2 linked regions of the Oryzias latipes genome follow. The protein of the gene in region 1 purifies or fractionates together with the protein of each later gene. This does not show direct contact. Links are inferred from orthologs where the notes say so. Each region holds a gene or a part of one and is shown on either strand. Other genes may lie near its edges.

Region 1 (4,366 bases):
AAAACAATAACGTGAAAGAAGACAGGTTATTCTGTCTTCTTTCAGAATTACCTGAACAAAGCAACAAACAGAATTAGCTTCATCCACCAACCTTTTTGTTGAGAGAAGCAGGGAATGAGCGAACGCTTAAATAGGACTCAGCAGCCTTCTTGTCAATGTACTGCAGACTGTCGCCATCAGCATACATGATGAGTCGGGTGAAATCGTTGAATAGAACACCAACACTGTTGTCACAAAGCTGGTATCCTGCGAAAGCAATTTACAGCACACCCTTAATTCTCCATTAAAAGCAAGACAATAAAAGGCAAACCTGTCCTAAGATTTAGAATTTACCTAATCCATATTTGTCAGAGTAGTCGACCCATTTACTGATCCAAAAGATGGGAATACACGCAGGATCCTCTGCTTCCTCTGAAATCAAAGACAAGGGGTTTTCTGTAAGAAGGACTGACTAAAACTGCAGAAAGTTTAGGTAGTTCCTGCAGGCGGCTGCTCTCACCTTGCCGAATGACCGCCTTCTCTGAAGGCTTGGCAGAGATGATGCTGTTGAGCTGCTGCAGCATGTCCTTCAGGTAACATTCTTCTGGCTCCGCCTCTCTGCACACAAAATTCCCATTTATCATTTTTGATCAAACTACGACGCATGTTTTAGACCTTAGTGTGATGTCTCACAGTGGAGCAGGCTCGTCTTTCATGTCCACCTTCTCTGTGCCGGCTGAGAAAAAAAATATATAAAAAAAACCTCCATCAATATCACTGTTGATTAACTGCAGACTTTCATTATCAGTGCACCAGTTTTGGGCAATTGTTGGGTTTGTTACCTTTGTTGTTTATGGCAGTCAGGGGGCGCCTCTGGCTGAGCTCTGCAGCCATGGAGGGGGCAATGGAGAACCGCGGGGGCACAGTGAGACAAGTGGTGGGCAGCCGCAGGGGGACGTATCCCGATGTGAAGAACTCATCCGTCTGCAGGTCAGTGATGGTGGGCCTCTGGGCAGGATCGGCATGCAGCATCCTCTTGATGAGAGCCGAGGCTGACGGGTTGATTTGCTGCAGCATTCAAGTGAAGTGACGGTAAACTTAAGATTTTCTTTCACCAACTATTACGTACATTTAGGGATTAACGTCAGCTCTTCTCACCCAGGGGATGGTGTAATTGTTCTTCTTGATCCGGTTGTATGTGTCTTTCAGGCATGAGGTTTCAAACGGAGGCTTGCCGACTAACAAAGTGTACCTATGAGAGGATACAGGAAGGAAGTTGAGTATCCAGAATCCTGTGGAATGACACTCTTCCCCACTCCACTGTGGGTTTACACACTTACAATATGCACCCAAGTGACCAGACATCCACTTCATAGCTGTGGCCTTTCTTGCACAGCACTTCCGGAGCGATATAGTTGGGCGTTCCACACAAGGTCTTCTTCCGTTCACCATCAAACTCAATCTTTGTGGCCAAACCAAAGTCACCTAGCAAAAAAGGAAAGAAAGAAATGATCAGCGTTTAATCTGAGTAAAGGATATTAAGAAGCCAAATATGGGTGTTAACAAATTGGAGCTGGAAGTTCTCAACAAGGAAGTTATGGGAGCATATCAAGAACATGGGTGTGCCCGTTTCTTTGTCACTACACCGACAGGTTTCCTGCTCTCCATACCTATCTTGACTTCCATGTCGTCGTTGAGGAAGATGTTCCCCAGTTTCAGGTCTCTGTGGATGACCTTGTTGCTGTGCAGATAATGGACCCCTTTCAGCAGCTGGGTCATGTAGTAGCGAGCCTCCGGCTCCGTGACCGCCTTCCTGCGCTTGTGCAACTCCAACAGGGACTTGAAAAAGGACAACAGTTCTGGTGAGCGGCTGAACTCAGTGGAGGAAAATGGAGGCTGGGAGAGCATGAACAAGCTGGATGAAGTGAAGTGGCACCTCAAGAAGTGTTAAAAACAACACGTGGAACAACACAAAGGGGAAAAAGAATTTAGATATCTCTATAGTTTTAAATTACAAAAAGTTACTGGTTTAGGATAAGTAACAGTGATTTAAAGCAGTGATCAGGGGATTTGAGTCTCCCAGCACTATGCCAAAGGAGGGGGGGGGGGGGGGGTAACGGAAGAGGCCACATTGTTAACCGTTGGCCTTCATGTATTTTCATTTAGAGTTCCCAAAATCCTCACCCTTCTCCTGCAGATCTCCAGGACCACATAGACAAAGTCGTCGTCCTCAAAGAAGCCGTGGAAGCCCACGATGTTAGCATGATTGAGGCTCTTGTGAATGGAGATTTCCGAGCTCATCTTCTCCCTTTGGTGCTGCTTCAGGATCAACGACTTGGGCACTATTTTGCCAGCGAAAACCTGCTTGGTCTCCATGTCTGTAATTTCGAAGCATTTGGCGAAGCCCCCCTTGCCGAGGAACCTGCCCTTGGAGTATCTCCTCAGGGTGCGGGGATCCACCAAAACCTCTGGGATTTCTTTCAGAGGAGCCGATTTTGGGTCGACGTGTCCGGACGGCTGCGCCGGCTTTGCGATAGCAGCACTCATGGTGTACTTTAAAAGTGCTCTTTCCGCGTTAATAAAACTCCAAAGAAGTCGAAACGCAAAAGTTATTAAACAAGGGCTAAAGTGTTGTTTAACCCTCCAACTCAACCGACGTTAGTTTAGCCTTCGAAGCTAACTTTTTCTACGCCTCAATTTACAGCAAATACTAACAAACGATCTAAACCGCAAACGTTGACTAACATTTAAAGGCCGACAGGTCCCAAGATTAAATAAATTAATTAAAAAAAAAACCGGAGGCAGAATTCTTGCGCAGACTTCCCCGGCAGCGGTTGCCTTGTCCCGTTCTGCCTTTTCGATAACAAGTGTCTCGTACAAATTTAAAATGCTGGCTCGGTCGTTTTGGCGATCGTTGATTGGTCTGCTAGATTTGAATTCCACAGCGTCACAGCAAAGCATCTTGGGAACATGTGTACAAAAATAGCCAATCAGGAGTAGAGTAGAAGGCCTCCAACAATCTGATTGGCTGAAAGGCTGTTTTTGTTTCCTCGAGAAAGACGGATGGGAAATGTAGTCGGGAAAAGGATTTAATTTCGAAAGTGTTTTGTTATTAGCGTTATCCGAATTATGGCCACTCCTGATCCAATATCGATCATTTAGGTTCATGTTATTAGTTGAACACTAATATTACATGAATGCAGAGGATCATATGAAGTTTATTTAATCTTTGTTAGACTATGAGTTTTTTATGAATTTGTCATTTTCACTTTTTGGATGGATTTTTATTGACAGACATTGTTGGTTCAGGTTATACACTTTTATTTTTATTGATTGCCATGCTGACTGTGTACACTCATCTTGCGCCACACTTCCTTGAAAAACTTTCAACTTTTCATAAATTGAGAAACATGTGAGTGTTTGCTTTCTTCTCATGTTTTCTTTTAATTTCTACTCTGTTAGAACAACCATTAAATACTGTTTCAAACCAAATTCTCAGACAGTGCTATCGGCATTCTAAGTGTATCATTGTAATCATTGAAAAGCCACAAATGCCCTCTGTAGATACCAAAAGGAGTTCATTCAGTAATTGCAGTGGTTGAATAATTTTCAGGTCTAGAAATGTCCACTATGGGGACAAGTTTTTATTGCCGGTAGTGAGGAGGATATTTTTCACTCTAGATTGGTTGAAATTCAAAAAGGATTTTGAGCAAAAAAGCCTCAGGGTTTAACTTGAAAGATTATTTATGCTGGAAAGCATAAAATGGTGAGAAGCAGTAAAATATAGTGTAACAAAAGCAATATGAGAAAGTAAACCTGCAGTAATGGTTTAATCTGTCTTGCCACACTAAAAAAAAGTCACATCGTTTTTGTGATACCAAGATTATTGTTTATTTGACAAGATGTTAACATGATGAAATTAAGGACTTTCACTTTCTGATCATGATGGTTAACCTGTTGATGCCTATACTTAAATAATAACTCCAGAATACATGAAGATTCCCAATTTTTTACATTTGGATATTGACTGTACTGTTTGGTTTCAACATGCCAAGCTAAAAAAAAAAAAAAAAGTTGTTTTTCCCCTAAGGTTTTCATTTCTTTTTTTCTTTATCCACCACTGCATGGTAGTTGGGGTAACCAGTTAATAGATTGCTGGTTGCTGGCTGATCAACATTTTGTGGTAAATTAATTTGGGTTAAGAGTGTAAAGGGGGAATGGTTATGGGACACTAACTCAAAACACAGCTTGTTGAGGGGATGCTTACCTGAAGACTGCGGGGACTTGCTTGCACCGGTGCATCCTAAGGCTACAAACACACCGTTTATAAACCATCAGAGGTTGTAAAGGAATACAGTTCAGTAGTTTGGAGGTAGCATTACTTATT
Region 2 (4,357 bases), on another chromosome or scaffold:
GTGTTCTTCTGGCTCTTGACTGTCTTGCAGCTTTGGGTTGAGAATTGGAGAAATGAGTGGAGGGGAAGCCCAGACACGGACTCTAGGTTTGGTTCTGGAGACGCGCGGAGGCTCCTTGTGATGTTGGAGCTGGTGTGGGGAGCAGCTACGAATTGGAGAGCAACCTTCAACAAAGGGACTCTCGTTGCAGGAGCTGACATCTACATCCAGGGGAATAGACAGTGGGGTCACGTTGCATCGCTGTTTTCTTTCAACTAACACGAGAACAGGCACAGATTAAGGATAAAAAGCCAAATATAATCCAGCAATATTTACATTTTTAAAACAGTGAAATGCTCTACCTGAGCCTACAGGAGTGTGTGCAAAATCAGCAAGAATTGGAGAGATTGTTGGGGAACCATGGCCAGCAGGAGATGATCTATCAGGAAACAGAGGGCTGCCAATACTGCCAAGGCTACAGTCCCTGATGCAGCCATGTTGGATAGGACTAGAGGAGAACTGGCCCTTCGTTTAAGAGAAGTAAAGCTAATTTTAGTCATGCATGTCTTCATCTATTTTTATGCAAACATTTAAAGGGGCAAAAGATACTCATTTTTTACAGCTTTACATGATTTCTATCCTATGACCCATTTAAAAAAAAAATACCTGGCAACCCAATTCTCTATTTTTTGACACACTGAAACTTACAGTAGAAGGAGTCGGGGCAGAGATCCCGCATGACAAAGGAGAAGAAAAAACTGGATTTTCTCCCTCAGAGCACATGGGTCTCGGTCCGCTTCCTTGTCTTTTGGTAGGAAGCCTCTCAGCTCGGACATGAGCTCTTTCTGGACTCGGTGGAGTGGAGCTGTCAGAGCTGCTGTAGCTAAACTGTCCATCGAGAAAGAGTTTTCTCCTCAAGGAGGAGGAACTGAGGCTCTCCTGCACTGCATCACAAGCCTCATCGTTACGGTAATATTCTCCTAAGAATAAGAAAGAAATGTGACTTAAAACTTTCATTTCAATGATTCTCCTCTTACATTTAACAGAAGCTTACCAAGTAGTTTTTCCAAATCAAATGTTGAAGGCAGCGAAAGGACCGTCTGGCAACCAACTGTAAGATAAAAAGATGCAGTTTATGGAAAACTAAAGCAAATGAACAAATTTAACAAATTCTAATAATTTTAGATCCCTTCTTTTTTTCTTTTTTTTTAATACGAACATGCACCAACCTGAGATTTTTTCTGTCTGTTCTGCAGCTGTTTCAGACAAGGGACCTAAAACAACAAGACAAAACAACAAATGGTTAAATACACATTAATATTACTAAAAACAAGGAATACTTGAAAGTTATTATTCCAAACAGTTGGATATCTTACTTTTCTTATAAATATGAGGGGCTCTGCGAGTTTCTGCTGCTGCCCAAGGAGAAGGCACTATGGCTCCTTTGGTAAAAAACTTTATTCAGCAAGACAAAAGACATGAGTAAATCAGTAAATTGTCAACAAGACTTCTACTGAATTATTGCAATTTTAAAAAAAGATTGCTTTTAAAGTCCAAAACCTGCTCAATAGCACTCTGAAATTTTTCTTCAACATCAGAATCGGTCCTGAAATATAATAAGAAAATAATTTAGGTATTTAGATCTGCACAATAAATCACAGAGCTATCGCCATCTTGTTATCAGCCTGTGCAGTATGCGTATCGCAGAAGACAGTGCAATAAATCATACCATAAATGTTTACACACATGCCTAAACAATCTTATGGCAGCTTGAAGTGTTTCAAATTCAAAATAGCCTGTTAAGCTTTTGACTAATTGGATGGAGCCCTTTTATGTTAGATGCTTCCCTCCTATCAGGTAAAAGATCATTTGGAGTATAAATCAAGTTATACTGACTTTTATTTTGATAAAACTGTTGCAGTGAAATGAAAAAGATGTATTAGTTGTTTCATGTTTTACTTTGGGTTCATGTATCGTAAGTCACATCGTCATCGCAATATTGATCACCAATATCGCGAGTTTTCCTGATATCGTGCAGCCTTAGTTTAATTACAGTTTGTAATTTGCCAAATATTTAAGACTGGAATGCAATCAAAGATTTGCCACTGTTAACAAAATAAGGGATTCAGGACACACCTTGTCTGGCTGAGGTAAAAAGACTGTCGCTGGATTTCTTCTGGGTCTATGTGCACTGGGAGAAGGCTGGCCATTTCATCAATAGACCAGTTAAATCTTGGAGGGGTCTACAGAAAAGACAAGATATGAGACAAAACTACACAGCAGCCTTAAGACACATTTCTCGAAGTAAAAATTGCAAAACACACTTGCAAAAACCGGTTTCAGCTTGACTGTGTAAATAATATTCAATTTTAGTATAAGTTGTGGGTAAGAAATTAAACTTACAGCTTTACAGGACTTGGATTTAAAAACAGATGGGCTTGGAACCAAGGGTTCCCGGAGATGGTGGTAATCATTTGGACTCTCAAAGGGGTTTCTTATGGAAGGCCTGCCCGGAGTCTCTGGAGTTATCTCTAGCTCGATACGGTCCCCCATCCTGGCTGAAAATTCAAATTCAAGTTATAAAGAAAATGTATTACAAAGTACACTTAAAAACATTTTAAGTGTAAACCAACATGTATTTTTTTTACTCGATCCGTTAGCTAGCTGTGATGTTAGCTTGCAAGGAAAACAACAGTTTTAAAATCAGTTCAAAAACAACATAACACCCATAATTTAATCCTTACCGACACTGACTATGTAATTGTTTTCCGCCCCTGGTACTTACATGTTTTATCTGACTTGGACTGTAAAGCGACTAAATCAAGAGAAAGTCTTCCCCTGTCGACTCCACAGTGGTATTAGGAAGAGAACAATTCAAACGTTTATTTCAATTTCGTCCACGGAGCCAGCCAACCAATAGAATCGTTACAGAAAGTTGTTGAGGACCAATAGCGACATCTGTGTCGTCATTTCCGCTGCTAGTTTGCGGACGGTGCATCAACTTTGATGCAAGCTAAATGCTAATGCGGCATTTTATCGTATGTCAGAATCCGAGTAAAGCAAATATGAGATATTTTAAACGCGGCCGTGTTGTTTAATTGAATTGTTTTCATCAACGTTTTATCAGGGTAACATATAAGCTGTTGTGTATCTGCTAGCAAGTTCTAGCTAGCTAACTAGCGTCATCGTAATGGCAAGTGCAGCTAATGCTAACCTGAACGCAGTCCGGGAGACTATGGACGGTAAATATTTTAACTTGTGTGCACATATTAGCATATTTAATAAGAATTTCAAGATTATCATTAAATCATTCTATTAATTTTAAACTTTTCGCTTTTCCTGAACAGTTCTGCTAGAGATTTCAAGACTGCTAAACACTGGTTTGGATATGGAGTCCTTGTCCATTTGTGTGAGGCTGTGTGAGCAAGGCATCAACCCTGAAGCTCTGTCTGCTGTCATCAAGGAGCTCCGAAAAGCTTCAGAGTCTCTGAAGGTAGAAGAGAAACTACCACATCTCATTACAGACCAAAACTTATGTCCGTGTTTTTTTCTTCTTTTAGTGTTATCGCGAGTTCTATAACCATTTGGAAACCATTTGTTAAGCTTGAGTGTCATTGTTTTTTTATTTTTACATTAAAGTCTGTAATGATAAACATCATATCAGTGTAAATAGTAGTGATGGGTTGATGATGCTTTAATGAGTTTGACACATCTCCCAAACTGTTGACTCTGACATAGTGTTGCTCCCTCTCTAGTGACCCCTGCAGTAATTCTGAAATCATTGCAGGTAAATAAAATAAGAACGGCATTTTTGGTGTTTTTAACATGTTCTTGTAGCACTTTTTTATGATTGATTACATATAATAGAAAATTAACATTAAAACAGCATTTTTGATTATTTCTTAATTAAGAAACCGGAGAAGTCAAATAATGCAGTTTGAAAAACTTGCAGTTGTGACATAGAAACAACAGCCATTAGGCCAAACTCCCTGCTCTGCTCTAGTCTGATGCCTCCACTGGCAGATGAATAAATTTATGTACATTTTTGTTTTCCTCGTCTGAGCTGGAATCTGGATCAAAGCTGTTCAGGTGGATGGCTCAAATATTGTTCACTATATTTGTTGCACCGCTAGTGTGAGCTTGGGGTTGTCAGGGACTCAGTTAGCGGGAGAGTGTAAACAAGGTGTCGCTCGTCCCATCATTAGAAAATAGAGCTGTGGTATTAAAGTATTTCAGTATTTTGACTTTTATTTAACACAAGTTGTTTGATTGATGCCCACATACTAGTGAATCCTTAAACTTGATTTTTTTTTCTCTTTAGAATATTTTCTACTATTTAAATTTATTAAATATTTTATCATCCTTGCCACATCAACCC

Evidence for each region. The genes of interacting proteins can lie anywhere in the genome.
Region 2: the proteins of plk1 (region 1) and bora purify together in Homo sapiens (affinity purification with mass spectrometry; 12 studies listed by BioGRID and IntAct, counting the BioPlex papers as one, with this or other methods). This does not show direct contact. The link is inferred for Oryzias latipes from reciprocal best matches to the Homo sapiens genes PLK1 and BORA.

The regions. Positions count from the first base shown.
Region 1 is NC_019859.2:22,726,240-22,730,605, forward strand, and holds the start of plk1 (serine/threonine-protein kinase PLK1), read right to left. Parts: upstream 2,929-4,366; 5' UTR 2,527-2,928; coding exon 2,164-2,526; intron 1,819-2,163; coding exon 1,650-1,818; intron 1,465-1,649; coding exon 1,320-1,464; intron 1,232-1,319; coding exon 1,138-1,231; intron 1,048-1,137; coding exon 822-1,047; intron 716-821; coding exon 673-715; intron 598-672; coding exon 500-597; intron 412-499; coding exon 334-411; intron 247-333; coding exon 92-246; intron 1-91. UniProt on the Homo sapiens protein: Serine/threonine-protein kinase that performs several important functions throughout M phase of the cell cycle, including the regulation of centrosome maturation and spindle assembly, the removal of cohesins from chromosome arms, the inactivation of anaphase-promoting complex/cyclosome (APC/C) inhibitors, and the regulation of mitotic exit and cytokinesis.
Region 2 is NC_019873.2:18,607,706-18,612,062, reverse strand, and holds the start of bora (protein aurora borealis), read right to left. Parts: upstream 2,886-4,357; 5' UTR 2,765-2,885; intron 2,538-2,764; 5' UTR 2,533-2,537; coding exon 2,383-2,532; intron 2,223-2,382; coding exon 2,116-2,222; intron 1,586-2,115; coding exon 1,540-1,585; intron 1,435-1,539; coding exon 1,356-1,434; intron 1,254-1,355; coding exon 1,209-1,253; intron 1,091-1,208; coding exon 1,034-1,090; intron 960-1,033; coding exon 688-959; intron 505-687; coding exon 342-504; intron 255-341; coding exon 1-254. Other genes in the region: mzt1 (mitotic-spindle organizing protein 1), read left to right, coding at 3,170-3,221, 3,327-3,472. UniProt on the Homo sapiens protein: Required for the activation of AURKA at the onset of mitosis.